Canis lupus familiaris: one gene and its partner. The protein of the gene in region 2 interacts with the protein of the main gene of each other region in a pairwise test. Links are inferred from orthologs where the notes say so. Each region holds a gene or a part of one and is shown on either strand. Other genes may lie near its edges.

Evidence for each region.
Region 1: the proteins of pre-mRNA-processing factor 40 homolog A (region 2) and CCNL1 interact in binary tests that used the Homo sapiens proteins (3 or more experiments, as listed by UniProt). The link is inferred for Canis lupus familiaris from reciprocal best matches to the Homo sapiens genes PRPF40A and CCNL1.

The regions. Positions count from the first base shown.
Region 1 is NC_049244.1:51,186,911-51,202,063, forward strand, and holds the end of CCNL1 (cyclin-L1), read right to left. Parts: intron 13,157-15,153; coding exon 13,036-13,156; intron 11,936-13,035; coding exon 11,871-11,935; intron 10,060-11,870; coding exon 9,960-10,059; intron 9,854-9,959; coding exon 9,749-9,853; intron 9,669-9,748; coding exon 9,527-9,668; intron 9,080-9,526; coding exon 8,968-9,079; intron 8,812-8,967; coding exon 8,713-8,811; intron 8,171-8,712; coding exon 7,822-8,170; 3' UTR 7,258-7,821; downstream 1-7,257. UniProt on the Homo sapiens protein: Involved in pre-mRNA splicing. Functions in association with cyclin-dependent kinases (CDKs). Inhibited by the CDK-specific inhibitor CDKN1A/p21. May play a role in the regulation of RNA polymerase II (pol II).
Region 2 is NC_049240.1:55,463,493-55,479,333, forward strand, and holds the start of pre-mRNA-processing factor 40 homolog A, read right to left. Parts: upstream 9,473-15,841; 5' UTR 9,365-9,472; coding exon 9,089-9,364; intron 8,457-9,088; exon of another isoform or gene 8,219-8,456; intron 8,041-8,218; coding exon 7,909-8,040; intron 6,508-7,908; exon of another isoform or gene 6,476-6,507; coding exon of another isoform or gene 6,428-6,475; intron 1-6,427. Other genes in the region: ADP-ribosylation factor-like protein 6-interacting protein 6, read left to right, coding at 10,251-10,647, 11,662-11,715.

The DNA of each region.
Region 1 (15,153 bases), on a different chromosome or scaffold from region 2:
AAAGCTCCCCCTGACTGGGGGGGGGGGGGGGGTTCCAAATAAATAAATGTCGAAGGAATGCTGGAATTAGAAAAATCACATTCAATAAATGTTTCAGGCCAAAATCAGTGGACTAGTAGGCAGAATTATGATGAAAAACCATATTTATGTGATCTTGAAGCGTCTCCTCCATAAGATACTGTTAATTACAGAGGAGGAACCAGTGACATCGAGTAGAGCACCCTGGCCCACGCCAGCACCTTGATCAAGGACCATCATTACTGGGGCCAAACCCCCGCTGCCTCCTAATCTGCTGCACTGGGAAAGACGCGCTTGTGTTGTCCTCCCCAAACCACAAAAGCTGAGTCCAGTCTTGAGGAAATACCGGGCGAACCTCAAGTAAGGGACATTGTACACAATCCACTGGTTTACACTGGGAGTTAAGGAGCCAAAGAACCCCCCGGTGATGGCGTAGAGTCGGAGGTTTCGTAGGCAACGGGGTAGAAACAGTGAGACGCCAGCAGCAATGGGCAGACCTGACGCCAGGGTTTGGTCCGTCGCTAACAGGAACCTGGGCCTTCCAGAGGAATGGCTTGTCCCAGGGTTGAAGCAGAGAAAGCACAAGGTGAGCCTGGGTCATCCTGTGGTACGAGAGGGTGACGTAACGCCCAAAACGACTGGGGACACATGGAAAGGTCAAAGGAGCCAGCTCCTGGAGTTCCGCTGGCCTAGTCGGGGACCGTATCAGCACCACGAGGAATGATGAGAGGGAGGAATTGCAGCACGTGGAGTTTTTTTTTTCAAAAAAAAATCTATGAGTCTGTAGATACTGGAACAAGTAAGAGATGAAGGGAAAGCTCTCTTGGTAGAGGAATGACAACCGACACAGGGCCGGGCGGCTAGAAAGACAAAAGTCACCATTTCCAACCACTGTAGTGGAAAACAAACTTGATTCCGGGGAGGCCGTTGCGGAGCGTCCGGGCCCCCAGGCCGACTCCCAGACCTGTCAGGACATCCAGCACCTGGGCCTCCAGCGGCAGAGACGGGGAGGTCAAGTGTTAGCACCCGGGGGCGGGGGGGACGGACGTTCTTTGTACTGCGTTTGCGGTGCGTGTGTTACGAGTCTGAAATGATGTCGGAACCGAAGTTTCAGAACAATGTTCACTGCTGTTTCTTTCAACGCGTCGTCCTTCTGTCGCTGTAGTGGGTTACGTGGTCCTCCCCGCGCCCCCCACCCCCCATTTCGTGTCCATCCAGAACCTTAGAATGTGACCTTCTTTGGAAATAGTGTCCTTGCGCAAGCCAGTGGTTTAGATGAGGTCCTCCTGGGTTCGGCTGCGGCCCAGTCCGGTGACCGGTGTCCTAGGGGGAGGAGAGGACACACGCGGGGGAAGGCCTGGGGGGGGTAGGGGGAGAATGCGGAGACTCGAGCAGCCTCTCCCCCCAGAACCTTCTAGGGCCCCGGCACATGCCGGTCTTGGACTTCCCTGCCTCCTAGGGCCCGGAGAGAAGGAATCTCCTTCCTTGAAGCCCCAAGCTCTCGGTGGCTTATCACGGGCAGCCCAGGACAGCGGTCCCAGGGCCCTGCAAGCTGGCGTCACCCCACACTCAGCTCCCACACGCACCCCACTTCTCTTAGCTGGCGTCACCTCGCCCTGCGACAGGCCTGGCCTCCCCTCCTGGCCTCCCCTTCCTGGCCTGTCCCAGCCGTGGTGCCCTGGCCACCGCAGTCCCCCTTCCTTCCATGAGCTCGGCCCCCGTGCAGCTTGCTCGGCCCTGGAAACCGTCCTGCAGATTATTTGGGGGCTACTTGGATTGCTTCAGGTGTTACCTGGCTTTTAAAAAACAGCCTCCACTACCTGCAAGCAGGTACTAATTACGTGTAGGTATCCGGCCTGGCTCTAGCCATAAGGGCCTTGTCCGGCCTCGTGTCCAGGTAGAGGCCTACCACCGTAGCCTCCTCAGGGGGTGGGGGGGTGGGAGCACACGCCGGGCGGGTGCAACTCCACTGTTTTCAAGTACGACAGTTCACTGGCCGAGACTCCTAATTTCTCACTGTCTGCCGGGACCTACCAGTTTCAACAAGACCTCATTGTACACCGCTAATCCACGCTGCACAGTTAAATGACTAAAAGTTGGTTTGGTTGAAAAGGACCAAGAAAATAACACATTTTGAGCAGAAAATTAATTTTGTGATCTGGGGTTGGAGCGTTGGACGTCACGGTGGCTTGGACTTGAGCGCCTTGTGCTCTGGACAAAGATGTGCTGTGTCATACATACGCTCTGTATGAAAACAGGAAGACTCCATTTGTGGAAGTTTCCCACAGGTGCTCCAGCAACGCGGAAGCTCCTCAAAGGGGAAATTCCAGTGTGAGGTTAGTGGTGAGCCAGCCGAGAGACGCTGGGCACCGTGGACAGGGACGTTCATCTGACCCAGATCCCATGCACACTAGGCCTCGTTCACAGATGTAGGCCTTGGATTCTTCTCTGTGACGCCAGGGGTCTACTGCAAAAAGACCAGGCAGGTAGTATCAAGCAAAAGAGCAGGATTCTAGAAAAACCCCACTGTCGGTGATAAATGCAAATTGACACGGGGCTTCAGTGTTGTGATGAAGAGGGAGTAGAAAGGGGGATAATGCACGGGCGTGTGCACGTCCCAACCAGAGGGCTGCTTGGTGCCAGTGCGTGATACCAGGGATTGTACATCTCATGTGTGTGTGTGTGTGTGTGTGTGTTTTTAAGAAGGTGGAATTTTTTAAAAAATATTTTATTTATTCATGAGAGAGAGAGAGAGAGAGAGAGGCAGAGACACAGGCAGAGGGAGAAGCAGGCTCCATGCAGGGAGCCTGATGCAGGACTCCATCCTGGGTCACGCCCTGGGCCGAAGGCGGTGCTAAACCGCTGGGCCACCTGGGGATCCCCAGACATGCTTATTTTAGATGGGGTGTGAAAGGAGCCCCCTGTAAAGAGAAGGGCACGCGAATGATGAAGCCTCTGACATTAAGCTTCGGGAGAGCCTCCCAAGTAGGAAAGGCGGCAAGTGCAAAGGCTCGGGGGTAGATGTGCACATCTGAGGAGGAGAAAGAGAGGTTGGTTGATGGAAGAGGCCGGCGAGGGCTGGGTTACGTACAAGCCAGAGTCAAAGGCTTGTATTTTATTTGAAGTGGAGTGGGAAACCACTGGAAGCTTAACGTATTAGAGGAACGTGGGATTAACGCTTTAAGTAGGTCATTAGCTGCTCTTTGCAAGATTGTGGCGAAGGCATAAAGGCTGCTACCTTCGGTGGGTGCCGGTGCGGGGCGATGGCTGCTGCAGGGGAGGGAGCGAGGGAGGGAGGCGCGCTCGCTGGCAGGCTGGGGCTTCCCTCTGTACTGGAAACTGGGCTGCAAGTGAGCTGAGCGGACGCGGCACACACAGAAGGGTCAGGAGAACACCTGGGATCTAAGGGCCCCGGGTTTCCGTGACAACCTTGTCCAGGATCAGCTCCAAGTCCAGCGCAGCAGCATCCTGAAATTACGTGTTCGTAAGGAACATAGAAGTCAAGCTTCTCAATAGTTGGGATGCGTCCTAGTAAGAACTACGGGAACCGCAGACCTAAACGCAGGCCCCGCTTCTACCTGCCTGGCTGCGGGCCGGGCCGGCGGCTGACCAGACGCTAGATAACGTGCCAAGTCCCCTCAGTGGAGGAGTGGCTCCAATTCAGAGATGACCGGGAAGGCCATGGTCCTTTCATTCAAGAAACAGACAAAATTCAAATGGTTACGAAGTCAAAGCTGTGAGTTGCAGCCACACACATACCCTACCCGGGGATGCGTGGGGAGCAAGGCCCACAGCATGAATCCTGCTGCCCTCCCGATCCTCCCAGTGGGGAGGGGGGGCGGATCATGGGTTTTCCTTATCAAACCCTGTGAGCGTTCTCTGTCTCCAGCTAAACTAAGCTCCCTATGATAATAAGATGGATTTTGGGGAAAACAAATCTGGTCTTTAAAAAAAAAATTTACAGTTCTCTATTACAGCCTATGTTAAAAAATGGCTCGTAGGACAATGAATACCATCATGCAATTATCTTGTTTTTGGAAACTTTCATGAGAGCTACCTTTAAGTGGCTTTTGACGCAGGTTGAGGGCAACGATCAGTTACAAACTGATGGCAGCAGTGACAATATTTAAAGCTAGAAAACAAAACTTAGAACCTCAGTAAAAAGGTAGTCACTTTGACGATCGCGGTTTTTAAACGGAGAGGGGATTTAGCTTGTCACTGGTCTTCCTTTAGGTTGAGAAACCAAAAATAAAGGACAGGTGTTAACATTCCATAACATGAAAGGACTGCAGTTTTAAGAATCAGGATCATCAGAACAAATACTAAACAACTCGCATGCGTTAGGACTCATGGCTGTAGCGGGGAAACACAAGATGAGAGAACATATGCGCAATGGGGAGATTCGCACACAAAGCTGTCAGGGGCAGGCACTAGTGGATTAAGAATCAGGAACTCAGGGGCCCCTTGGGGGGCTCCGCGGTCTAGCGTCTGCCTCCGGTCCCGGTCCTGGGATCAGAGTCCCACATCGGGCTCCCGCAGGGAGCCTGCTTCTCCCTCTGCCTGTGTCTCTGCCTCTCTCATAGATAAATAAAATCTTAAAAAAAAAAAAAAATTGGGAACTCCATGAAATAGCTAGTGAATGAGGCACAGTCTACTAACAGTTCTAGAATAACACACAGCCTCAATCCCCAGACTTTTAAGTTTCAGAGTAAAAAAAAAAAAAAAAAAAAAGTCCTCAAATCTGAATCTGATCAAGTCTTAAGAACTGTGAACTTTATAATACGGGAGATAGGAAAGTATGTCTGGTGATGCCACTGGGTTACAATGAGCAAACCCAGAATGTGGAAATGTCCTCAAAACAAATGACCCAATTTTTTAAAATTGTAAGGGGAAAAAGGATGGGAGAATCTGTGATTAAAAGCAACGGGAAGCCCTGGTGGCGCAGCGGTTTAGCGCCGCCTGCAGCCCAGGGTGTGATCCCAGAGACCCGGGATGGAGTCCCACATCGGGCTCCCTGCATGGGGCCTGCTTCTCCCTCTGCCTGTGTCTCTGCCCTTCTCTCTCGCTGTCTCTCATGAATAAATAAAAAAATAAATAAAATCTTAAAAAAAAATAAAAAAATAAAAGCAATGTAACAATATGAATTTGCTTAAACATACTAATTATAAAAACAAATTAGATAGGAAAATCTGGGTATTGACTGGGCAGTAAGGCATTACAGTTAATTTTTTTTAATAAAAAGTACTGTGGTAGTTTAAATCCTGATCTTTCAGACCGAAATAGTTGGGGATGAAATCAGTTGTCTGGGATTTTCTTCCAAATGAGTGGGAAGTAGAATGGTGAATTGGTAGGTACGAACAAGCAGGCTGACCAGGAATCGATCATTTTTGGAGCAGAGACATGGGTATTGTACTACTTCTGTTAGAAATCTCCTTTAACAGAAGTTGAAAAATTGATACATATTTAAAAAGAGAGCAGCATGAGACTGTCAACTTCTTGACAAAAACCTACAAAACTTTATTTTCATCACCGGTCTCACAAGGCAAAAATTAGGATACATGGAGACATCCTTGCGAAGCCACCTGACACACTACAGATCCCATCCCGCATGCAGGCGAGTTCCTGCATCTGGTCTTCAAAGCTCAGCCACGGTGCTCTCTCCAACCAGGGGAAAGTAGGTACAGAATTAAGCACGATCAAGAATTCAGGATTAATTGGTCAGACAGGGAGGACCTCGGTGGACGGCCGCCGCTGCCCTTCTTCAGTGCTGATCTCGTAAAGGAAATAACTGGCTTCCTGCGTAGACATAGGTTAGCCTCTTAAACAGCTACAGTTCGGGGCAGTATGTGCGACATCATATACAGAAGGAACGCTCTTCGTGCTATTCACCCCTTCAGAAGTCGCTCTTTATTGAGGTCGGGCTTGTTTTCTAGTTACAACAACTGATTTATTAAAGGGGCCCACCCAGGGCAGCCCGGGGGCTCAGCGGTTTGGCGCCGCCTTTGGCCCAGGGCACGATCCTGGAGACCCGAGTCCCACAGGTCCCCACACGTCGGACTCCCCTCCGTAGAGCCTGCTTCTCCCTGTCTCTGCCTCTCTCAGGAATAGATAAAATCTTAAAAAAATAATAATAATAAAGTGGCACACCCAACATTTTAAAATCCAAGGGAGTCTTGTCTCCTTCAATGTAGTTGCCTTAGTTGGCTTTCTTTTTCCAGCCCTGGTGCCCACCACTGGTGACCATGCTTTATAGGTTTTTGAAATTATCTTCAGTTTTTTTCTTTTAAACTCTTAAGTGGCAGTGAATCTTTGTATCTTTCTGCGTGTATTTCATCTTTTGAAACAGCAAATCATTTGGAGCCAAGTCCAGTGGACAAATAAAGTATCAAGCTGTATTAAAAAATTAATGGAAAACTTATTTTAACTATAAAATATGTCCTTTAAGATTTCTAAATTCAGGGGCTCCTGAGTGGCTCAGTCAGTTGAACATCTATCTACTCTTGATTTTGGCTCAGGTCAGGATCTACAGGTTGTGGGTCTGCCCAGCTTTTGGCTCCATGTGGAATCCGTTTGAGGTTCTCTCTCCCTTTGTGTGTGTGTCCTGTCTTTGTCACCACCCGCCCTGTACCCTGCTAAATAAAATCTTTAAAAAAGATTTCTAAATTCACTTCCAAATTATTGGGAAAATAACTCTCAACATGAATAACTTACAAAGTATTCATTTGGATATAGGACTTCTGGCTTTTACAACAAAACTTCAGTGGTCAGACTTTATCAGCCCCAGCCAAGTGGGGGGATGGGGAGAGCTTTTATTACTGAATCTTCCTAGCTTAGATAAAAATCCTCATTAAATATCTAATTTAATTTAAAGAAAAACCTTAAAAGTCAACAATTGGATCTGATTTGTCATGTTACGTTTTCATTTGTTCAAGAGGGCAGCTCATTTAAGAAATGGTACCATAAATACTATTTATGTGCAAATAGATTTCATTATAAGACTGGCTTAGTGCTACAATGTAACATTTAATATTACATTGCTGCACACAACCCTTTTTTTTTTCCATATATAAGGCTAAGACTTTTACAATAGCTCCCACTGCAGGTAAAAACTGTATTTAATAATCTCAAACCATAGCTAATGGAGGAAAAGAGCAAATTTGTCAGAAAATCAGTACAAGCACTTTACTATTAAAATTTTACTTTTTTTAATAATTTATTTAAATAAGATATTTGAAGCAGTTTAGAAAAACAAGATTTGTATTTTATTTCCTTGTAAAAATCTTTACACATGCAGACAAACCAGTGTTAAGAAAGTATTCACCATCATTTAAACAAATAACCACTTAAATAGAACAGTGTCTGCAATTTTATCTGTATAAAAATAAGATACATTTTTACAGAATTCACGCTCCAGTTCTTATAGCAATAAACAATACACAACTATAATAAGTACAATTGAACCTGACCATGGTTTTCAATTAGATACTGCTAGGGCATTTTAATGTGCAAAAAAAAAACAAAAACAAAAAAAAAACAACAAAACAAAAACCAAAACAAAAACCAAAAAGGGGAAAGAAAAAAAAAAAAAAAAAGCCAAGAAAACAAAAAACCCCCAAAAAGCAAAACAAAAAAAAAAAAACACATAGTTTTTCCAAAACAAAATGTCTTCAGTGTTTCTAGAGACCTAGAGGGTTTTAAGAAATCATATCCTAATCAGTTTGTTTTAATGTTTTTGATTATGAGTCCATACATCACACCATAGATAGGCAAAGCCAGGAACTGATGCAGGCTCAAAGAAGAAAGTCAGCGCCTGTGCCTGCCATGTCCTGAGCGGCTGCCACCATGGTGCTTGCCTTTATGGGACCTCTCAAAGGAGCGAGATCTTTCACGCCTGTCCCTATGATGTCCCCTTTCATGCCTGTGTTTCTTGGCAGCATCTGAGTGATCCCGAGACTTGCTCTGAGATCGAGAACGAGATTTTTTCCTTTTATGACCATGTCTATTTGAACTTTTTAAATCATCTCTGGTGTGCTTGGCCTTAAGGTGAGGAGAACCATGATTATGATGTCTTCTTGGGCTTTCACTGTGACTGCGGGACCTGCTTCTTGATCTTGAGCTGTATGTTCCAGACCGGCTCCGCCTATTATTATAACTTAGATAATAAAAATTTGAGGTTTAGATTCAGTCTCTACTGGGACCAAATTATTTTGGTGGTGCTTATAATAGCTTCAAAACAAAACTATGCTTTTTGTTGAATATCTCACACATGCTCAAAAGAGCCACTGAACAGACATAAGCAGCTAGCAAACTAATTACAAAGCTAACTTGGGAAGACTCTTTGGCCAACTTGAGTATTGGTTATTAACAGTTAATAAAATATTAATATTTTCTAACTGAAATTGAACAAAACTCTTTTCACATTATAAACAAGGTATTACAGCTTTCCATAGCACTTTGTGGTCAGCCCCTACACCTCTCCAAAATATGGGCAAAAACAGAATAGCTCATAAGCTACACCACCCCAAAACAGAAAAGCCATGTATAGGCAGGACATACTTCCAAACTCCTTTCTCGTAATTTACCTCATGTTAAAATATTAAATGTAGCCCAACTGCGACATCTACATTAAATTTTTTAAAAAGTAGGAACCTAACTCCAAATAAGACTCCTTTCTCTAGGAGAATATTTACTTACTGTCTTCTTGGAGTATGTGATCTAGAACGTGATCGCGTTCTTGATCTTGACCGACTAGCACTTCTGCTATTTCTACTTCTTTTGCTGTCTTTTCTTACTCTTCAAAAAAAAAAAAAAAAAAAAAAAAAAAAACACAAAAACAAAACACACACACACACACACACAAACCCATTATTTTAGGTACATGTTTAGTGTGTTAGAAATTAAAAACATAAAAGATTCCTTAGACCAGTTTTCTAACTCAAGGACACTCACCCATTATAAGGGCTTTTGGAAGCCTGTTGTCTGTCTTCAGGTTCTTTCTTGACTGTCTTCACATTGACAGACACTGGTGACTTCTCTTCAGCTTTCACTTCTCTTGGTGATGCTTAAAAAAAAAAAAACAAAAACAACCCAATAACACAAAGTCATGTTACCTATTGGATTTAACAGAGGGCCAAAAAGTTGTTTCTAAATATAACTCAAGTACCCTGCTTTCAAGTATGATCTTGAGTTGACTAACATGAGAAAAAACAGTAACAGATTCTTCTAGCATTGTTTCTATGCCACTGCTAAAGCTTTCTTTTTAAGAAGATTTATCTACTTCTTTATTTAGGGCCGAGGGGGGGCAGGAAGAGAGGGGACGGTGGAGAAAAAAATCTCAAGCAGATTCAGCACTAAGAACAGAGCCTGTCAGGCTGAGATCATGCCTTGAGCCAAAATCAAGAGTCGGATGCTCAACTGACTGAACCACCCAGGTGCCCCTAAATGCTAAAGCTTTCTAATAACCAGACACCTTCAGTGCCCAGTCATTTCAATTCTGAATATATCTTACATGGTTTAGAGGCTGGAGAAAATCCACCAAGGGTTGAAAGGGCTGGAGTTCCATCGGGATTCAAACCCTTTGCTTTTAATTTGGCTTCTTGTAAGGCTACTTTTCTTTTCTCTACTTCTTTTTCCAGCAATTCATAGTTTGGCTAATGGAAGAAAATGAAGTAAGTATTTTCCCCTTATACTAGTTTAGACTCTTAGCACTTAAACATGCGTAAACAACTACCTTTTTTCTGGTATAAAGCCTAAGTGTTTCTATGCAGATTTCCTGGATCTCCTCTTCCGTAGTACCAAAAAGAAGAAACCAGTGGGGACGAGTTGGTAATGGAATCTAAACCATAAAAACAGAATGGTTTAGATCAAATTTCAGTTTTTATTAGGAGGACTGCTAAGTCTTGTGTTTTATCCTATAGAAAAAACAGGCTATATATACCTACCTGAAGAGCTCTAGCTGCAAGGTAGATACAAGCACATGCTATAGTCTCTGGTTGAAATCGAACAAATACATTGGTTCGAAGACTGTCATTCATATAATTCCTGAAAAATATTTCAACCATAAGCTTTGTACATAAACAAAACAGCCAGTCTGAAGCTTACATAAAATTGGAGACTCAATCTACTTTATTCTTTTTTCTTCTCATATTTATATTCATATCCTCATATTCTAGCATATAACAATTCTTAAACTCAAAAATCAGTAAGAGGTAAGAATTTAACACTAGAACCATTCTCCAGTTTTCCTATAAATGACCAAAGTCCTTTAAAATAATCCCATAAAAAAAAAAAAAAAAAAAAAAAAAAAAAAAAAAAAAAAAAAAAAAAAAAAAAATAAAATAATCCCATATTATTCCAAATAAAACTTATTTTTATATATTTCTATAAAAGGCAATACTTTGAAAGTCAATTTTGACATAACTAAGTTTCAGAAATGATAAACCACTCCAACAATACTTCAAGCCATTAATCATTGACCATCTCTCCTTTATCCACAATAAAAAGCAGTGTCAACCAAGTTCTTTCAAAATCTCAAAATATTGTGACAGGGGTAAAAAGGCATTTTCAGTAAGCACTCACCAAGTTATATTAAGACAACTAAGTAAGCTACTTCAGAAAATTTAGATAGGGAAGAGCAGTAAATATACAAAACAGCCTTGTTTACATACCTTTTTTGTGACTGAGTATAAACAAAAGCAATAAACTACTTCAGTTAATAAAATGCTGGACTTTTTTATTAGTGAACCCTCCCCGCAATATCCCTAAAGTATTAAAGAAACTTCACAAATTGTTTAAAAGGTTAAACTAAGAAGACTATTTCTTAAAAATCCTTACCCACGAAAACTGCTTAAATGTTTTATAGAGCATATATAAAAATGTCATGCATTTTATAAAAGCAATTAGACTTTTCTAATACCACTAGTATATACTTATTCCTAAAGAAGCATGGTAGTCATTAAGTCCAGAACACAAAATTTACTTAAGTCCTGCATATCAAAGAGTCTTAAAAAAGTAATTGTAGCTGGACCAAATTGTTTTACCTTAAAATAAGCTAGCCCTCTAAATCAAACATCTTCATGTCAAAAGTCCAAGTTCTAAAGTGCTTATGTTAATATTAACATCTCTCTTAAAAATGTACTATTATTATTGCCTCAGTAGTCCAGCAGCTGCAATGCATCCAGTATGGGAATGGCACCCATTTTAAGCTGCAAGCTGTAGTCTCCTTTGACAGAATCCATGCTATACATACTAAAATTAGAAATCTAAGTCAAACTCCTAACCAAAAAAAAAAAAAAAAAAAAAAAAAAAATCATTTTATTCATACTGGCTGGACAACAAATCTATCAAAAATGAACTACTCATTTTGATAGTTACAGGTATACATTATATACACAGGCATGTTGAATAGTTACTTCTAGAAGCAAATATACAAATCCTTTTGACACCCCGACAGAACTAGAAGATGCTGCCAGATGGATATGGACCACTTCAGTGAATCTCGGATGAGAGCTTGCACTGGATTGGCTGGAGAGCAGGGCAGCCAATCAGGCCATCCTGAGGTCATGGGCTGAAGTGCAGAGGGCAGAGTTCTATGACTTACCATCATGGACTACCCTTTAATTAAAGAGTAGAAAAAAGAACAAAGTTAAATTGAGTTCTCCATTGAAAGCAATTAGTCAAGCCAAGAAAACAGGAAGCAGAAATAAGCATTATTTACCTTTTGGTTAAAAAACAAAAAAAACAAAAAGCACCAAAACAAACTCCTCTCATTATTTTGGAAAGGGAAAACGAAACTTACTTTATTTCTGCTTCTGTTTTCCTGGCTAGGAAAGAAATGTAAAAAAGCAACTTACCAGGCAGTTTGAACCAGGGTTTGATTACGTTCACATTCTAAGACTTGTAAATACATAACAATGATCTGAAGGACAAGGGAAAAAAACTCAATTTAGCATATCGGTGGGTCTTTCAGAGTTCAATGAATATATAAGTAACTGAAATGTTAGGTACAAGTTTTAACGCTTCTACAAACTGCATAGATAATACAGACCAACCTAAAATGCACATTATAGGCAACGTGGGTTATTATGCTACTACAGTCCATATAAAAATTTAAAATATGATCCAAAATTCACAGGAAAAAAAAATGAGTTAAGTCAATTAAAAACAATACCTAGTATCTCATGAACACATTACTATGTGACAGATGCTGTGGTAAGAAATGTCACTTAATTTCCCAAGATACAATTCTTCATGTCCAAAAACCCTAGACTATGTTTTTAAAGTTATACAATGAGTATGACCTATGACCACATTATTTAATACACACAGTGGGTATTATATAGTAAATAAACACTACTCTTTCTGCAGTGAAGCTTATCTCACTTAAGCATGATAAATACTACAATATAAATAGCTCCACGAGAGTTCAGGTCAGAGCTTTCTGGACCTGTAGAATCAATCATTCCCATTCTACAATCTTAAAGATGTGGAACCTGAGGAACAGATATGTTTGCCCAAGTCACACAGCTAAGGGCAGAGACAAGTTTCTATCACAGACAGTCCTATCCCCAGAGCACCCTCATGGTAACCACTGCAGTGATCATATGTAAGCAAAGAGATACTGGAGAAATCTATAAACGTACAAGAACAGGAACAGTGAGCAGCCACCATGATTTGAACATTTTACTGAGCAACCAGTTGCATGCCAGGTACTTCTGCAGATGTGTATTATTATTTACTCTTAGAATAAGGTACTTCACACACAGTCTGTTTTCTAGGTAGGGAAGCTGGGTTAACCACAGAGGCAAAAAGAACTTATCTGTGTCCACATAATGAAGTGTGAAGGTCTGAACCCAGGTCTTTTTGACTCCTATTTTACTGATAAATTTCAATATCCTAAAGGATGCTATTTAAAACCAAGGTCAACTCTCAAAATAACCGTAACAAATTCACGTAAGATACAATTTTAAGAAAAACCCTAATACTTACGAACGTTAATTTCTGCACTCTACAACTCACCTTATGGGGATGCTTGACATGCACACAAAATCCCAACTCCTTTAGCACCCTCCTCTCTGCCTTGATAACTTGATTTTTGGTGTTAATGTAGTTCTGATCAAGGATCAGGGGGCTTGGAGTCCTATAGTTTGTAAGAAATAAAATCAAAACTGTTTTGCACATCCAAAAAATTTTATTTGTGGCATCTCCATTTTCCCTTCCAACCAACTATTGGCAACAGAAACCAGCTTTTTAAACTCCTGCAAACAAGTTAAAGCATTAATCTTGTGCTGTCCAAGTTATGCTAATTAAACATATACTTAACTAAGTTTCTATAGAAACTAACTCGATTCTGTAGAGAAAAATTCACTCTATGCTTTATCTAGCCTTTGTTGATCTTTTTCATAGGATTCCCTTATAGGTGTGTATGCATTTATATATAAATAAACTTAAGTGATTACTGATTTATCATCACAAACCCCATCAGTCTAGACTTTACAATGACAAAGCTAATGGATTCTTGAAAATACTTACTATAAAGACTTCATAGATTATAATGATTTTACTTGTTTTTCTAAAATATCAACCCTTGGCTAGTTTAGGACCAAAGTAAAAATTGGAGAGGAAAAAAATGGTAGGCAGCTAGCTAATCCAGATTCCCTAAATGGGTGCTTTGCTTAAACAAATTGTTCTAAGAATCCACCACTGTCAAAGAAAATCTGATAACTAAAGATTGACCTCAATTACAGAAAGAAATGTGTTGAAAATTAGATTCAAACCCAAAAGTTGATAAAAAGTAAGTTTACACTAGGTCTGAGTTGTTATTAGGCAGAATAACTTTCTTTAGAATGTGATGAAGAAGAGACTGGGGACTGTAATGAGGGAACCAGAAGAATGCTCAAGCTTCTCTGTGCCAGACTAAATTCTGATAGCTCCAAAAGCTGTAACGCAGAAAGCTATCAATGGTTAAGTGCTTTGGAAATAGCATGTTCAGTTAAAAGACTAAGTCTTGAACTGAAAATTGGTTTCTTACTGAGAAGTTTGTTTTTAGTCAGGACTAGTGGATTTTCATTTTCCCAATGTCCTTCATTTGCTACATTATTAGATCCAACTACCAAGAAAGTACGTTTTCATTAAGGCGTGGTTATAGAATATGTATATGGGGAGAACATGTAAATATTTTTCCCCATACTGAATTCATTTTCAGCCAAAATATTCAAGTTTTTGCCCTGGGCAGAACACCTGTTTTTAAAAGATAGTCATTCTGAACATTACTCCAATTCACAACTCATTTTACCTTACATACCAAATGCAGAAAAACGTAAGCTCATATTTAAATACATTCACTTGAATATTAGACAACAATCTGAAATGAGCTACAGTTAAACTAGTGACATACATCTAAAAAATCTGCTTTCTAAAAACCTGCTTACTCCCATTCTAAATCACAGCAACTGGAATGCTTGTTAAGACTACTTCAAATTATTTCATACTACGATTTTTATAAAATACACCAAAAACAAGAAAAAGGTTGGCAAATTTGACAAGATGGAAACTAGCTTACTTAAATTAACAATGCTGAAAATGGCCTTTCCGCAGTTCAATTCCCATTACAGCCATGCCAAGTGTGAGGAATGAGGCCACCAACCGGACAGGGGACTGATTTCAAACATAAAAATATAACAACGAATCTTCTTTATCAGGACGATAGGCTACAAGTTAATTGCTCTTTGAGAGAAAATTAATTTAACTTCAGAGCAATCAATGTATACATGAAAATGTAACCCAAAAATCTTAAGACTTGTAAATTTTCACGGTTTATCATCATTAACAGAAAACTTGGAAAAAGGTCAAGTGCAAACCTTAGATTTTCCTAACTAGTGATCTGATGGCCCTCCCTCGACAGGTATTAGGACAGGCATCTTCTAAGGCTGGAGATACTCTACTACTAACCCTTTACCCCCGGCAATTCAGACTGTAATCTGCACCACTACAATCCTAAAAATAAAATTTTATAAAATCAGTTTTGTTTTCCCCTATTTATATTGAGCAAACTCCTCTACGTCTTTTACGAAGCGTGGTTTAGAGTTGCCTTCAAATTCTGTTAAAATTCATTTTTCCTGCAATTAACTAACCACT
Region 2 (15,841 bases):
TAGAAAGCACTGCACAGTTGGCTCATTCTTAGTATCTCAATTTAGAAAGTTCCTAACGTTAGGTAAGACAAGCCTGCTTCACTTTTCATTATTTTTAAAACTAAAGGTAAAGTAATAAAAGCAATTGTTAATTCTACAACACATTATATTGTAAAAAACATAAAACTAAATTAGCCTAATTCTTTCACGATATCAAAACAAAAGTGAAAATCTTCACACAGTGAAAATCTTTCACACTTCAAAAGTTCTTTTCTTCATAATTATTTCCTGAAGTTTTTCCTGCTGGAAAGAAATCACACAAACTAAGCATCTTGTGTTTAAATATGAACTTTTAAATTTGGTTGATTTTTAAAAACCATTCTTTCTGCAAATCTTAAGTTGCAAATTATCTAAAAAGTCGGATTCTTGCCTAACTTGGTTCCTTTTAATATGTTTAAGTCAAATTCCACAAATACACAGAAGCTATTAAGTCTAGTATTTAAAAACCACTTTTACATCACTAACTTACCTTATGAATGAATGCCAACCCTCTTCAGACTCAGAAGGATCAAATTCAGTTAAGGTATATCAACTTCTCAAAGTTACATACAAAGACAGTGATAGCAATAATTCCTTCTAACACAGATTAAGTATTACAATCATATTTCCTGAAACCATAAAAAAAAAAAACTATATGCAAAAGAACAAGTTAATAGTTTAAATTATTAATGATACTTAGCCCATTGCCTCTTAGTAAACCCCCAATTTTTTAAATGAGGAAGAAAATATAAAGAGAAACAGACTCAAAAACTTAAATATAAATAAAAACTATCATTTTAATAAATTAAATTTTTAAAAAACTCAACGTAGGGATCCCTGGGTGGCACAGCGGTTTGGCGCCTGCCTTTGGCCCAGGGCGCGATCCTGGAGACCCGGGATCGAATCCCACATCGGGCTCCCGGTGCATGGAGCCTGCTTCTCCCTCTGCCTGTGTCTCTGCCTCTCTCTCTCTCTGTGTGTGACTATCATAAATAAATTAAAAAAAAGAAAAAAGAAAAAACTCAACGTATTAGGGATATATATACAAACAGTGATGTCTCAAGTCACACAGAATTAGACTTTAAAACTTCCTCTAAAGAGTCGTCTAAGCCTTCTTTTGAATGTAAGCCCTCTAGGACACAAGTATGGAGGGACATAAGACTGTCAATATCCCCTACTCCGAGTCCTTTAAGCTAGATTCAGTTTTAGATCTATTTAAATCATTATATGTTGTTTATATGAAACTCAGCTTTTTAGTTTCTTCTCACTATCAGGAACCTTTAGAACAAGGAGCATGTCTCATTTATGTACATATTACCAGGGTACAGGACAGATACATGGACGTAGCAGAAACTCAAATGCTTCGAAGAGACAATTTTATGACCAGTTCTTGTTTCCACATAGACGAAAAAATTTTCTATTGTATTTAATATATCCTAATAAATATGTAATAACCTTGAAATTACTGAAAAATCACCTTTCCGAGGAATAACCATTGTCTTGTAGCACATGGCCAAGGAAACTATACCAAAGCCCATGTTTTTGGACAGAAACTTAATGCTCATTCATTAATCAAAAGATAAAGTCTTAACCCAAACAGAAGATCAGGTCCTAATGAGTAAAATTATATTTGTATTGTAGTGAGAACTTTGTAAGTCTAAGATAAACAAGTTTTAAGGGGGGAAAAAAAAAAAATCAAAGCTGTAGATAAAGCAAACTATATTTCAACTCAGAACAGTCCTCTCTTGCTGACATGTTTAGTCCTTCAAAACATATAGCTACCAGCATCACTCAGATCTGGAAAAGACTCAGATTTCCACTTTAAGTACACGGTATCAAGTAAAAAAGAAGCAATTAGAAGCAGTTTTTCCTTAAAGCCCATTATGCAAAACACCATTATCTTTAGTACTACCAGTACTACAATTAACTTTTCTTTAATAAGAGGAATGTCTAATTACTTCTAGAGAAAGAAAAGAAATATAAAAGATTCATCTCCATAAAACTTCCAAATGTCTACAAATATCATGACAGCCAAATCACAGCAGTTACAAGATAAAAAAAAGTAAAGTTCAGCCAGGCACGTGAGGGAATACCAGGCATAGGAGGGAATAAGGTACGTATCAGTGTAAGATATATACATTTTTCTCTTTTTTTTAAGATTTTATTTATTTATTCATGAGTGACAGAGAGAGAGGCAGAGACACAGGCAAAGGGAAAAGCAGCTCCCTGCAGGGAGCCCGATGTGGGACTTGATCCAGGGACTCCAGCATCACGCCCTGGGCTGAAGGCAGGCGCTTAACCGCTGAGCCACCCCAGGGATCCCCGTTTTTCATCTTAACACCACAGCCAAGAGACTTAAATGCCTACCGACTAAAAGTAATATGAAGGTATAGAAAAAGTAAGAATGAAAGACCAACAACTTCTAGACAAGACAGTAATCTACTCACTCCAAAAATCATTGCAACTTAGCCTTATCATCTCTAGTTAAAAAACAAATACCCCAGTAGAGAGCTATGGGATATACTCAGGTACCTTTACTAGCTACTGATTCAGTTTTATGAGGATTTTAAGTCACATCATCAACATTTCTAACAAACCCAATTAAAAATCAACCTGTTAAGCTGTTGAGATTTGTTCTCTTTCCTTTTTAATCCTGTTACTTAATGAATACATTCACTGCACTCTTTAAATGCTTCATCATACCTGTTAATACTAATTTCGATGTTGCCTCTTCCTCCTAAAGACCAGACTAAATTGAAAAACAGCTTCAATACAATATTTCTCACAAAATGGTAATTCCATGCGACATTAATTCCATGCAATGTGCTAGACAAAGCAAAATAAACATGTAACGGGGGGGGGGGGGGGGGGGGGGAAGGGGAGCCTGGGGAAGTGGAGGAGGGGAAGATGGCTAAAAAAAGCCCCACAATCAAGAAACACTGAGAAAAATAGTTTTAAAAGGCTTCTGCAAGACTTCCCAGCAGCTTTAGGAAACACTGTGTCCTGTGAATCTCAAAGGAGAGGAGTACACTCCATTCTTCCACACTTACATTGTCTTCTAACATCTCTCCAAATACTCTCCATACTCAGAAACATTACTCTAGCTAAAGTTTTTAAATAGATGAGTTCATATGTAACTGAAATGCTACCTAAAAAAAAAAATAGTATCATTAGTAAATCTATCAACATCTAACTATATACACAGCCGAGAAGTTATACAAGCACCTAGGTCTGGGTCGATCTATTTTTTAAAAAATACTTGCCTGGGTAACATAAATGCACACAGAAAGTTACTGAGATTCAAGATTTTTTTTTTCTTTTTTTTTTTTTTTTTTTTTTGAGATTCAAGATTATGAACAAATAACCTAATGGGAAAAAAGCCTTTTTGTCACTTACTAATGCCCAATTCAATGGCATGGATTCTGTAAATGCCCAAAATAAAGGTCACTTAAAAGTAACAGGAACAAATTAACTGGTCAAAATCAGTCAGATAAATCTAAGATACCAACACTTTGGATTTCTCTGGAAGGCCTATATTCCAAATCATCATTTTCCCTGAGGGTATGCAAAACTTTGTGGTAAAACTTCTTTAAAAAAGACCATCACTAAAATCAAACAGATAGAAACATAGTTGTCTATTATTTAAAAATAAATGGAAATACGTACTTTTGCTTTATTCACCAAAAAATATTACATTTTATCTTCCATTTTTATCAAATGAAAAAACTAGAGAGACAAACACTAAAAATAAGAATTAAGTTGTAACAGTGTAAAGTCACAAGTAACCACTGAAAATAGTCACATGTAACATCTATCTTCATGGCCTATAATGTGGGAAAGAATATGTTTTTGTTTCATTCATTCAACAAGTATTTTACTGAGCATCCATGCTGTGCTGAGAACTGTGCTCAGCACCTGTGGACTTCTTAAAAAGTACAAAACATAGGCCCTGCCCTCTAAGAGCTTACAGTCTATTACATGCTGGAAAGAGCAAATACACCATAAAACAAAAATAAATCCCAAATAAGTGCAACAGAGTTACAGGCAAATTACATAGGATTTTATTTTAATAATTTGAAGGGAAAGTGTATGTTGGGCAAAGTTATTGCTGAGGATCTCCGGAGGAAGGCAAAACTTGAAATGGTAGAACTTAGGTAAGTAAAGGAAAGTTCATGGTGGCAGTGAGCTGTGGACAGGAGGACACGAACAGCATGAGTTCAGTCATGAACTGATACAATCACTCAAGATAGAGAAAACAGCCTGGGTTCAAATTAGGGAGCGAGAAGGCATGCAGCTCAGACTCATGCACTAAGTTGGACCTGGGAGATTCTTGAAAGTTATAAAGTGTGGAATTTAGACATTAGACCATAGGTACAGAAAAGCACTGGAGGCTCTTGGGCAAGGAGACAACATGCTGAACTCTAAAAGAATCTGAGGGGGGAGGCCTGAAGCAAGAAAACCAGCTCAAAACTTGTCAAGAGTATCCTGGGCATGGCAGTATATACTACTTGGGTCCAGATGGCAGCAGGAATAGACTCAAGATCTGTTAAAGCCTGCCTTACTCAATGTAAGAACAAGAAAATCAAACTCATTTGTGAAAAGCATTCATTTACAAACTTACTGAACAAAGGCAAAAAGAGTACTGAATAATTAGAATTAGGGAGGCATTACTAAAGAATTTTGTTTTTATGTACATATCAACCCATAAAATCTCATACATATCACCTACTCTTCTCATCAAATGACCTGAATTGAAGCATAGGTTGTTAGAGCTGAAAGAGACCTTACGGCTTTTACTCCACTTTTCTCATTAAAAGAAAAATTAAAAATGAAAAAAACAAAGAGCCAACTAGGAGGACTTTCTTAGGATTTTAGTGAGGGCAAAATCACCTGTGATAAAGGTAGGACTTGCATGTCCTTTGTGTAGAAAGTACAACAAAAATTTGTAAGAGGTGAGAACATTTTAAAAGAAAAACATTACTGACCATATAAGTGGAAAATGGCCTCACATACAATCACATCTTAAGGCAAATCTCTACTGCAAATTTTTGAGTATTCCCACCAAGTAGGGAAAATATTACTAACGGTTTTTTTAACCAGTGATAAAGCATTATTTAATTTCCATATTAAAGTCCATGCAACTTTCACAGTCCCTTCCAACTATAAGAGTGTATAATCCTGTAAAACCAGGACAACTTTCCCATATGAAGTTAACGTACAGTAAGAAGCAAATGTAACCTATGTTATAGATAATTGAGATGAAATCTCTTTTTTAGTAACAGATTCAACCTGAATTCTATAAAGGGCACTGTAGTCAATCTCCTGAATAAGTACAAAAAAAAAAAAAACCTTCAGAAAACCTAGTACTCTTTTAACCTAAATAACTTTTTCATTTGAAAAATTATGACTTCTGGCTCCTAAAGGTTGTTATTTCTGTCCAGTCTGCATATTATTTTACAAACAAGTTTTAAAATTTCCTGTTGTGCCCATATAACATTCCAAACACCAGAAGCACTTAGCGAGTAAGACTAGCACCAATTTTCATTTTCGGCTGGTCCCAGAATGAGATAGTAATGTGAAGTAGGCAACATACATGAAGGTTCCATCACCCTCAGGACCAAACTCTAAAAAATTTGTAAACTGACTTTTTAACTTTTTAAAATTGAACAGCAGAACCCTACCAACTTTGTGTCCCTGCACTGAACTGTGTCATTCACAGGCACCCTGCTGTCTCTCATGAACTTCTGACCATTAACACCTCTGAGTGAGTAGTCGTGAAAAAGATCCACTGTGCTGTCAACTTTTATTTTTAAGGTAGTTATTTACAGAGCTTTAAATTAGAATTCTAGATTACTTGAGTATTTAAATTATCCATGCCCTCCCAGTCTGTTACGAAAGCTCAAATAAAGAATTACTTTTACCAAGATTTGGGCCCCATTTAAGTTAAGAGATTAAGAAGACAAAAGAAGTATATAATTTTAAGGAAAAACAGTGGGGATTCTCTTGGGACCCTAAGAGCTGGACCCTTAAGTCGTTCATTCATTCTCCTAACAGGAGCTGACAGGGAGAGAGAGACTTTTAAACATCTAAATAGGTATACTTAAAGGTACATGGCATACACTGGTCTAGAAAAAAAAGAAGAAAATCTCAAGGTAAAATTAAGAGTATTTGAATGGATGTGTACCAAATATCAAGTAACCTTACTAGGAAGATGATCACTAATACAGCTAAAGAGAAAGGGCCATAAAACAAACTGTGACCAGCTTATGCCAATGAAATACACAAAAGTACTTAAAAAAAATAAATAAAATCTGCATTGTACTAGAAATGACTAGCTGGTGTCTTGGTTTGGTAGTGCAATAGCACCATTACAGCAAGGGTAAGCAGGTCAATCCCTTGCAAAACTTACCTTGATTGGCCCAATGGAAACAGAAGGCCCCAGAAAAGAGAGAAGCATCTGGCAGTAGCAAATTGTTTTATTTTATCTTTCTGTGGAAAGAAACTAATTTTAAATAAGAACCAGAGCATTTAAAGAATAAATATTTTTTAAAGCTCATTATCTAGTTAGAGCAGCTCTACTAAGAAAACCAGAAGAGCTCCTTGCTGCTTAGAGATGGAAAGAAACAGAAGAGGAATCAGAGTTGTTTCTCCATCATCTAAGGGAGTTTTAAAACTTGTGTTATTCCAGAACAACAGAATAAATGGTTCTTTTATTATTAAAAAAAAAAAAAAAAAAAAAACACTCAACTCCTACAGGCAGAATCTTTTGGGCCTGGTGTCTTTGAATATAGATTTTTATCAAAATTAAGGGCTATATTTCAAATTAAAAAGAAGAAAATCACTTGACATTAAGCCCTTCTACTCCTAAGGTTAAAAGAGAAAAGACACAAAGTAAGCTCCTTTCTCCACCACAATTTCACCAATAACTTAAAATATCAAGGCTTAACTGATTATCAACACAAACAGTATTAATTAGCAGAAAGACCATACCTAATTGACTGGCTTTCCAAAATATTTTACTAGCCTAAATTTTTGATGATTTATTGAGATACTCAAATGGAAAGAACTCAGCCACCAAAGAAAGAGTCTATGTATTACAGAACCTGACAGGGAGCATGAAATTATTCATGGTAACTGAACCTGTTACCTTTCTTGGATGCTTCTCTAGGAACTCAGTTCTACTGAATTCACTGAGTCAGCATTGAAACCTTTTGTTCCAAATCACTCCCACAAAATGTCCATTTACATTTATGCTGGAGATGAAAGGGACAGCTCAAAAGCAGGAGTGCAGAAGCAATGAGCATTTAAAACAAAACAAAAACCAAACAGTGTAAGTGGAAAATGAACCCCCTATATGGCACTATCCTATGAAGAATCAAATCAGAGTAGAACCTCCCTGCTCTACCCCCACCGAGTGCGCGCGCACGCGCGCGCGCGCGCACACACACACACACACACACACACACACGAGGAAATTATTTCAGGAATAAACTTTACTCTAAGGTAAAGGCCTAAGCAATTGCTATTTTTAGATTCTATGCATCTACGTGGTCCATAGACATAAAATACGTTGACCTATAAAATAATAATCACTCTTCAAACATTTAACTTCAATTGACATACTCGGAAAAATAAAGTCATGACGCTAAAAAGACTACACAAACAGCTACTTAAAAAGAGAACTCTTAGTTCTGCTGTGGTAGAAAATAAATCTTTAAAACAGAAGGCTTTTTCCTTACTTTCAAAATTTGATTAGACTTAGCATTTGACTTATTCGACAATATTATTTTGGCATAGACTAATCCTTAAATAACTGCAAGTATTGACCCAGGTTTTGAAAATCTTGACACAACGATAACCGAAGACAAAACGAAACAGGAGCATCCTTACTTGTCCCATTGGCGGCCCTCCCATAGGGGGCATCATTTGCGGCATCATTCCGTGAGGTACAGGAGGCATGTTGGCTCTCTGGCCCATGGGGTGCATGCCCATCGGGGCATAATGCATGCCAGGGTGGCCCATCTGGAAAACAAGGGACACGTGAGAGCGAGCAAGGGACGATGAACGCTTCTCAAAAAACTGATCGCACAAGCCGGCTACGCGCACAGAGTGGCTCAGCGTCAGGCCAACTGGGACCCCATCACCGGGTTGCCTCGTACTTTGTTTTCTTAAACAAAATGCACCTCCCACCGGAACTTACACGGGCTCGCCACCGGCCGAATCGCAAAGTAATCGGAGAAAAAATTAAAATAATCACTGGGCAAAGAGAACACAGATTTCATTTCCGCAGCAGGCCGCTGCAGCGCGTTAACAGCCGGCGCCGCGCAGGAGCAGGTCCGGGGAGCCACGACTTTGTTGTTCCTCACGGGTACGAGGTAGCCAGCGCCCGAACAGGGGCCGTTCCCGGGCCGGCTCCACGCTGACTTCACGCTTTGACGCGAGGGTTCGCCGACTTCCCCGTGAGGAGCGCGGCCTCCGGGAGAGGCGAGCGAGGCCAGGGTCCCCAAGGACGCCCGACGCCGAGCGCGGGTGCGTCCCGCAGAACCCGCACCGCAGAGCACGCTCCTCGGCTCAGGGAGGACCCTCCCCGGGGCGGCCCGGAGCCCGGCGCAGGCCGCTCACTCCCCTGAGGAAGCCCTCCGCGGGCGGGGGCGGGGGCGGGGCGGGGCGCGGGCGCGGGCCGGCCCGGCTCTCCGGGGCTCCCCCGCCCGAGGCCCGAGGCCCGAGGCCCAGCCGCCTGCCGCCGCCGCCGCCGCCGCCCAGGCCGAGGCCGAGGCCCAGCCGCGGGGACGTCCGGGTTCGCCTCCGCGCCCCCGCGCCGCGCCCCGCCCCAGCCCCGGAGCCCGCCGCCCCGAGCGCCGCCGCGCGCTCCCGGCCTCTGCCCCTCGGGACCGGCGGCCGGCCTCTGACTCCGCGTCTCATTGTGCCGCTTCGCCCCGCTCCGCCGACGCCTCGCCGCGGGCCGTCTCCTCGGGGGGCCGCCGGGAGGGGCCCGGGCGCTGCGGCCCGACAGCCCCCGCTCCCCGTCCCCGGGACCCCGCGCCGGAGGGCGGCTCGCCGCCTCACTCACCATGAGGCCTCCACGCTCGGCTCCCGTCCCCGGCCTCATCGTCGGGCTCAGACTGCTCCGCCGGCGGCCACTGCCGCTGCACATACCAACAAGCAGCGATCTGAGTGGCTGGCGCCCGCCGGGGCCAAAGGTTAAAGGCTGCCCTGCGCTGCGGGGCGGGACCAGCGGGGCCAACAGGCTGACGGGCTTCCCCGCTGTCCAATCAGAGTGCGCCTCCGACACGCAGCTCTGCGGCGATTGGCCCCCAGCCTCAGCCTCGCTCGGCGTCGCCTGCATGGAGGGGGGAGGGGGACGGAGGAAGTTTCTGCGCCTCCGCCGGGAAAACTCCACCAACTTTCCCCGGGGGAGGGAGCTCAGACCGCCTCACCCCGCAGGGGGCGGGGCAGTGCGCCTGCCACCTTCACCCCCTCCGCCCGAGTTCCGTACGCCCTACCAACCTGAGGCTGCCCGGGAGGGGGGGTACCCGGCTCGTAGCGGTAGCGGGGCCGGGGCGGGGCGCGCGCTGCCCGCGGAGGAGGAGGGGCGGGGAGGAGGCGAGGGTTCGAGCTCCGTACGCACCAGCTGGAGAGCCCGCGCCGGGGCGGAGGGGGCGGGGCGGAGGCGTGTCGGACGGCGGGGAGGCAAGTTGTGATAGGGGCGGGGAGAACAATGAGAAGGAGAGCGGGGGGCGGGGAGCGAGGGGCGGCGAGCCGCCGGGAGGGAGGGGGGCCCGGGAGGCGCGGGGCGTGCGGCGGAGGAAGGGGGCCGTAGCCCGGCGGGCGCTAGGACCGGGCGCGGCAGGACGCGGCCTCGGGGCGGCGGGGCGCGCGCGCCTGGAGGTGACGCGGCGGGGGCGGGGGTCTCCGGCCGGGACGACGCCCCGCGGGGGGCGGGGACCTGGCTCCCTTCGGGCCCTGCTTGGCGCTCTCCGGGCGCTCGTCCGCTTGCCGTCCTGCCCCCCGAGCTGGGGTCGCGCCCGGGCCCGCGGGCGCCCCGCCTCGCCTCAGGCCGCGCAGCGCCTTCCGCGCCCGGACGCGCACCCCGGTGCACCCCCGCGCCGCCTCGCCGGTGGTGGGCGCGGGGGCGGGGGCCGGCCGCTGATTGGCTGCTGCGGGCGCGGGGCGGGGCCGGGGGCGGGGCCGGGGGGGTCTCGCCCTCCGCGGGCGCGGCGGCCTTTCCCGCCATGTCGTTCGTGGAGACCGGGAGGCGCCCGCCTGCGCTGCGCCGACGTCCCGGCACCCCGGCCGCGTCCGCCCGGCCGGCCTTCGCCTTCCCCGCGGGGGGCGGGTGGGGGGACGCGGAGGGGGACGAGGAGGACGGGTGCGACCCGGTGGCCCGCGATCTGCGGGCGGAGTTCTCGGCCGGGGCGTCGTCGGAGCCCGCGGAGCGCCCGCTGCTCCGCGGGGGCGGGGGCGGGGACGGCTCGCCGGTCCTGCCCGAGAAGCGCAACGGCGTGTTGGCGGCGGGCGGCCAGGGTGCGGCGCGGCGCCGGCCGGTGCGGGTGCTGTCGATCCTGTGCTCGCTGCTGTTCGCGGTCCTCGTCGCCTTCCTCCTCGCCATCGCCTACCTGGTGGTGAAAGGTACTGACGCGCGCCCCCCGCCCCCCGCCCGGCCTCGCCCACCCGTCCCTTGCGGTGTGTTTCCCGAACGGGCAGGGCCGCGCCCGAGGTGGGAGGCCCGAGGTGGGCCGACGCCGCGGTGGGACAGGCTGGCCGGCGGCGCCGTGGAGGCGGTGGCTCTGAGGCGATGGTGCTGAGGCGGCGGCGCTGAGGCGGCGGCTGTGGGGCGGCGCCGGTGCCGCGCGCGCTCGGACGGCCGGGCCGCCGCCCCACAGCCCCGGGCTCTGCTCTTACGGATGGAGTCCGTGGCTCTCGGCCGACGTGCGCTGGTGTCGGGGTCAGACCCCTCTGGTCTCCCCGGTCGTTAGTTGTGTTTCGTCGAGTGAGGTTAGACAGCCGCCGGGTGGAACAGAGGACGTGCGCGCGGTGTGCGATCCGGCGGGAAGGCTCGGCCGCGGCGGTCGGAGATCCGCGCGCAGTGTCCGCCCCGCGCTCCCAGGCCCCCGCGGGCCGGCGGGCGGCTCCCGGGAACCCCTGAGCGAGGACGCGGGGCGCGAGCCGCGGTGCAGACGTGGGCGCCGGGCTCCTTGCCGGTGCAGGTGGTCCCTGAGCGCGGAGCGGCCCCTTTTCCTCGGGTCACGACCCTTGCGACCTGGGCTTGGGTCCCTTGAGGACGGAGGAAGGGGCCCTAGTAGGCCGCGCGACAGCATCGCAGAAGGCGCGCGCAGGCACCTGGCCGCGCAGGAGCGCCGCCACCTCGAGGTTGAGTAGCCCCGCGGCGGGTGCCGAGAGGAGACCCACAGCCTCCGGGTATTTTCACAGCGACTCCAAGAAGCCCGCTTACTGGGCGATGCGCCCCGACGGACTGGATTTCCCTCGGAAGGCCGCACACCTAGTAGTGGATTCGCGCGTGGACCCTTTTGTTTCCGACTTCAGAGCACTTTCCACAGCTCCACAATATTTTTCCAGGTTTTGAGCTTCTATTTAAATTGTAAAATCGTTTATACTCAAGCCCCCTTTTTTTTGTATTTACAGAGTTACATGCTGAGAATTTAAAGACTGAAGACGACACAGACACCGGGCTACTAGGTATAAACTTAACTCTCATTTGATTTGCTTTGGAGTTCATTTTTATTTTTCCAAGTCATAAACTTAAACTATACAAATTTTTGGATAAAAAAATTAATATTCCCTTGTGCAATTCATGCAGTCTTAAATTTTTTAATTGCATTTGTGTGTGGTAAATTTTATTGGATTTTTTTAATTTGTGTATTTGGTGTGTTTGTGTATACACCACACACAGTAGGAATGCAATTTGAACACCGCTGTGTGTGTGACAAAGACCCAGAGACTAACATTTTCTACTTAGTTCCTCAAAAAGTTTTCCTATACCTTTCCCCAGGAATTAAAAACAAAAAAATCTCCTCACAAACTTAGCAAAGATGACATCTTAAGCAGACCTCAGGAGAAATTTAAGTTCATTATCTCCTTATAAGCAACTTCCTTTTTTTTAAAATGTAAAAAGTATTAGACATACTTGCTTAAGTTAATGATGAAGTCAGCCTCAAGTTTCTATAGAATGTAGAATGCTGTACAGACGACTAGTGAAAAATTGAAGGATTATTTATCTTGTATTTATTACTTTTTGCCAAAATAACTTTGAAGTGTTCAGAACCTGACCTGTTTGGGATATTTTACTACTTTTTGCTGTAATTTATTTGGTTGATCACTCTGAATCGGGGGGGGAAAAAAAAAAGGCTGAGATCCTATCCTGCATGTCACCCCCCATCTCAATTTTAGCTAAACTATTTGTCTCTTCAAGGCTATTGGCCTTACAATGATACAAAGTATAGTCTGACTGATTTTGCAGAAGGGGTAAAACCTTTATCTTCAAATTATTGAAACAAATTATGGTTTGTTAGATGTCCCATGAAAACATTTCTATAGTCTCGACTTCTTGCATGAGAAAATGTACTTTACAGTTGCTCATTCTATCAATGTATGTTGTATATTTTGTCTCTAAAAACAGCCAAGATTATGAGGCATTTCATAGCAGTTATTAAACTGTCAACTTGATGCAACAAGAATAGAACAATCTTAAGAACTAGGGAAAAATTCCATGTTGCTGTTTAAAACTTAGCAAATTTCATTCACATTTATGAAAAGTATAGGTGGCACTTTTCTTCTGAAGGAACAGCTTGTTTAGTATCAAAAGGAATATAGTAAGGCTTTGTCATTGCCCTGCTTCTTTTCCCTCTTCTAGTTTGGTAATACTTTTAGATGTACCTGATAGATATCTAATGCTGTGACAGCAAATAGGAAGATCATTAAGTCTGTGCTGGTGGCATGAATTAACTTTCAGGATTCAGGAACAATATCAGGAGTGAAGAGAAACTGTTGTATCTTTACAGCAAAAAACAAAACAAAACAAAAAAACAAAAAAACAAAACCACCAGAAACAAAAACAAACAAAAAAAAAGCACTAAACAACAGTAGTGCCAAAACAAAAATCCTTATGTTGAAGCAATGCTACAGTGGTCAGATGGAGAATATACTCAACATCTAGTGGACTAATTCAGTCAATTTCCTTAAAGTAGGCATGATTATCTTTATTTTTTTTTAAGATTGTATTTATTTATTCATGAGAGACACAGAGAGAGGCAGAGACACAGACACAGGCAGAGGGAAAAGCAGGCTCCCTGCAGGGAGCTGGATGTGAGACTCCATCCCGGGTCTCCAGGATCACACCCTGGGCTGAAGGTGGCGCTAAACCGCTGAGCCACCCGGCTGCCTGTAATTATCTTTAAAACAAATATTCATTCTAACCTGCAATAGAAAATGCTCTTTTCTACCAAGAGAATAGAATTCTTAACCTACCTCAGAGAAACAGTGCCAACATGATTAAGCTTCTATAAAGTTGTGGTTACTAAGATAGCACTTACCCTTGCATTGTTCTGAACTGGAATTCTCTCCTGTTGGAAGAAGAAAACAATATAACCTCTTTACAGAAGAATGTTTTGAGTTGACTACTGGCCTCTGTTAAAAGTCCAATTGAGAGCTCATAGTTGAAAATAGGCTATTTGTTTTTTTGTTTTTTTCAAATTTTACATGGATTCAAATCAGCTTTGAGTGAACAAATATAAAGGATTGCTGCATCAGAGTATCTGTGAAGGACTGCCTGTGGAATTATATTCTTACCCGTTTACAAATGGTATAAAAGTTTTCACATGAAGAAACGATCTTTAATAAAAACTGTTTAATTTGTCCACTATTTACAGGAAAAGTGGAATGCAGCCTTTTTAAATCTTATTTTGTTGTATTTCATTGCATTTATTTTGCCTTGTTTGCTAGGTACCTTCAAAGGTAAATGTAATATTTGTTTGTTGTAATGTTTGATTGTTTTGTGTATTAACCTTTTTTTGCTGTATTATTAGTGTCCATACTTGTTACCTTCCTATTTCGATGATTCCTATTTAAATTTTATTGCAAATTGCCTTAATTCTTTGAAAACGAACTGGTTTTTAGAATCAAATAATCTAAGTATAGTAACTGCTTTCCTATGAAAGAACTCTCTTTCTAGACAGGTTAATAAAACTTCTGCACACTGCGGATTTTTTTATTGCAATTTAAGCCTAGTCCAAGATTGGCATAGTTTAGTAAGAGCAGATTTTAGCAGCAGCTCTCATTTTAGTATGCATAAGAATCACCTGTACTTTCTTTAAAACAGTACCTCTGTGGGGCATCTGGGTGGCTGAGTCAGTCAGACACCTGCCTTTGGCTCAGGTCATGATCCCAGGACCCTGGGATAGAGCCCCATGTTGGGCTTCTCACTCAGTGGGAGCCTGCTTCTTTTTCTCTCCCTCTGCCACTCCCCCTGCTAGTTCTCTTTCTCTCTCTCTCTCTCTCTTTTTCTCTCTTTCTCTCTTTCTCTTTCTCTCTCAAATAAAATCTTTAACAAATAAATAGGTGAAAAATAAGAAGTACCTCTAGCTTTTGTTTTAGCTCAGGGTAGAAGCCAAAAATCTTCATTTTTTATAGGTAATGTTGATGCCTCTCAGTTTGAGAAATACTTTTATAGGGTAAGAATCTCTTTACAGGTGTGGTTTGTTTTGTTTTGTTTTTGAAGATTTTATTTTTAGGTAATCTTAATACCCAACCTGGGGCTCAATTTCATGAGGTTTTGATTTTTGGTACTTGTCATTTTTTGACATCTACTAGTTGATAGTTACACTGCCACAAGATTAAGAGTCTCATGCTCTACTGACTGAACCAGCGAGGCGCCCCTAAAAAATGTGTTTAAGAGCAGTTCAAGTCCTTGGGAGTTGACTGGTGACAGGCTAATAAGGTACAATGTATAAGTGCAAACAAATGCCCCTTAGGAAACATAACTTTGAAAGGACCTGAGACACTGCCATTCCATTCTCTTGTTATCTTTGCCTGAAAGAAGTCTTTATGGGAAACTGTGTATACCTTAAACAAAAAAAGGTTCGTGATGAACATGGTATCAGTACATTTGAGGAGTCATATGGTCTTACTGGCTAATAGGATTAGGCTATCAGTGTTCATCTTCACTGGTGAGGTAGACCAGCCAAGGAGGTATGAGAGATGCTGTCACCCAGTTTTGGTACTCATCTCCCCTAATCTTCCCTCAGTGACATTGGAAAGGCTTTCCTTTAATAATTGTCCTATAAACCATCTCGTAATGTAAGCCTTTTTTTTCAGGGAGGTTAATAAAACTTAAGTTTACTTAGTTAAAAATCACATTTTACTCCTTCTCCCTAAAGGTTATTCTCAGGCCAAATTGATTGCACCAATATACAACATAATGAGTTGTTTAATTTTTGCATATTGGCTTTTGTATCTGTCACATTATCCAAGTTTTATCACTTTTCACACACTTAGTTCTATTTTCCAATTTTTGCCTTTTTTTTTCATAGTCTTATTACAGGGTATGATAAAATGACCTTTTATTTCAGCCAAATCTGAAGTAAGTGTATAAGAAAAATAAAAGGTTTGCCTGTACCAGAAAATGTTTTGAGACTGTTGTCATCAAAGTAAACATGGGACTAGTGCTTTGAGTATGCATGCTGTAAGTATGCCATACAGGAATCGTAATTGCCTTTGTGGAGTTCCTTCAGTCTAGAAAGCTTTTGATTCTTGGTACTTGTCACTCTTTGATATTTCTTAGTTAATAGGTAACTATAAGTCCCTCTTG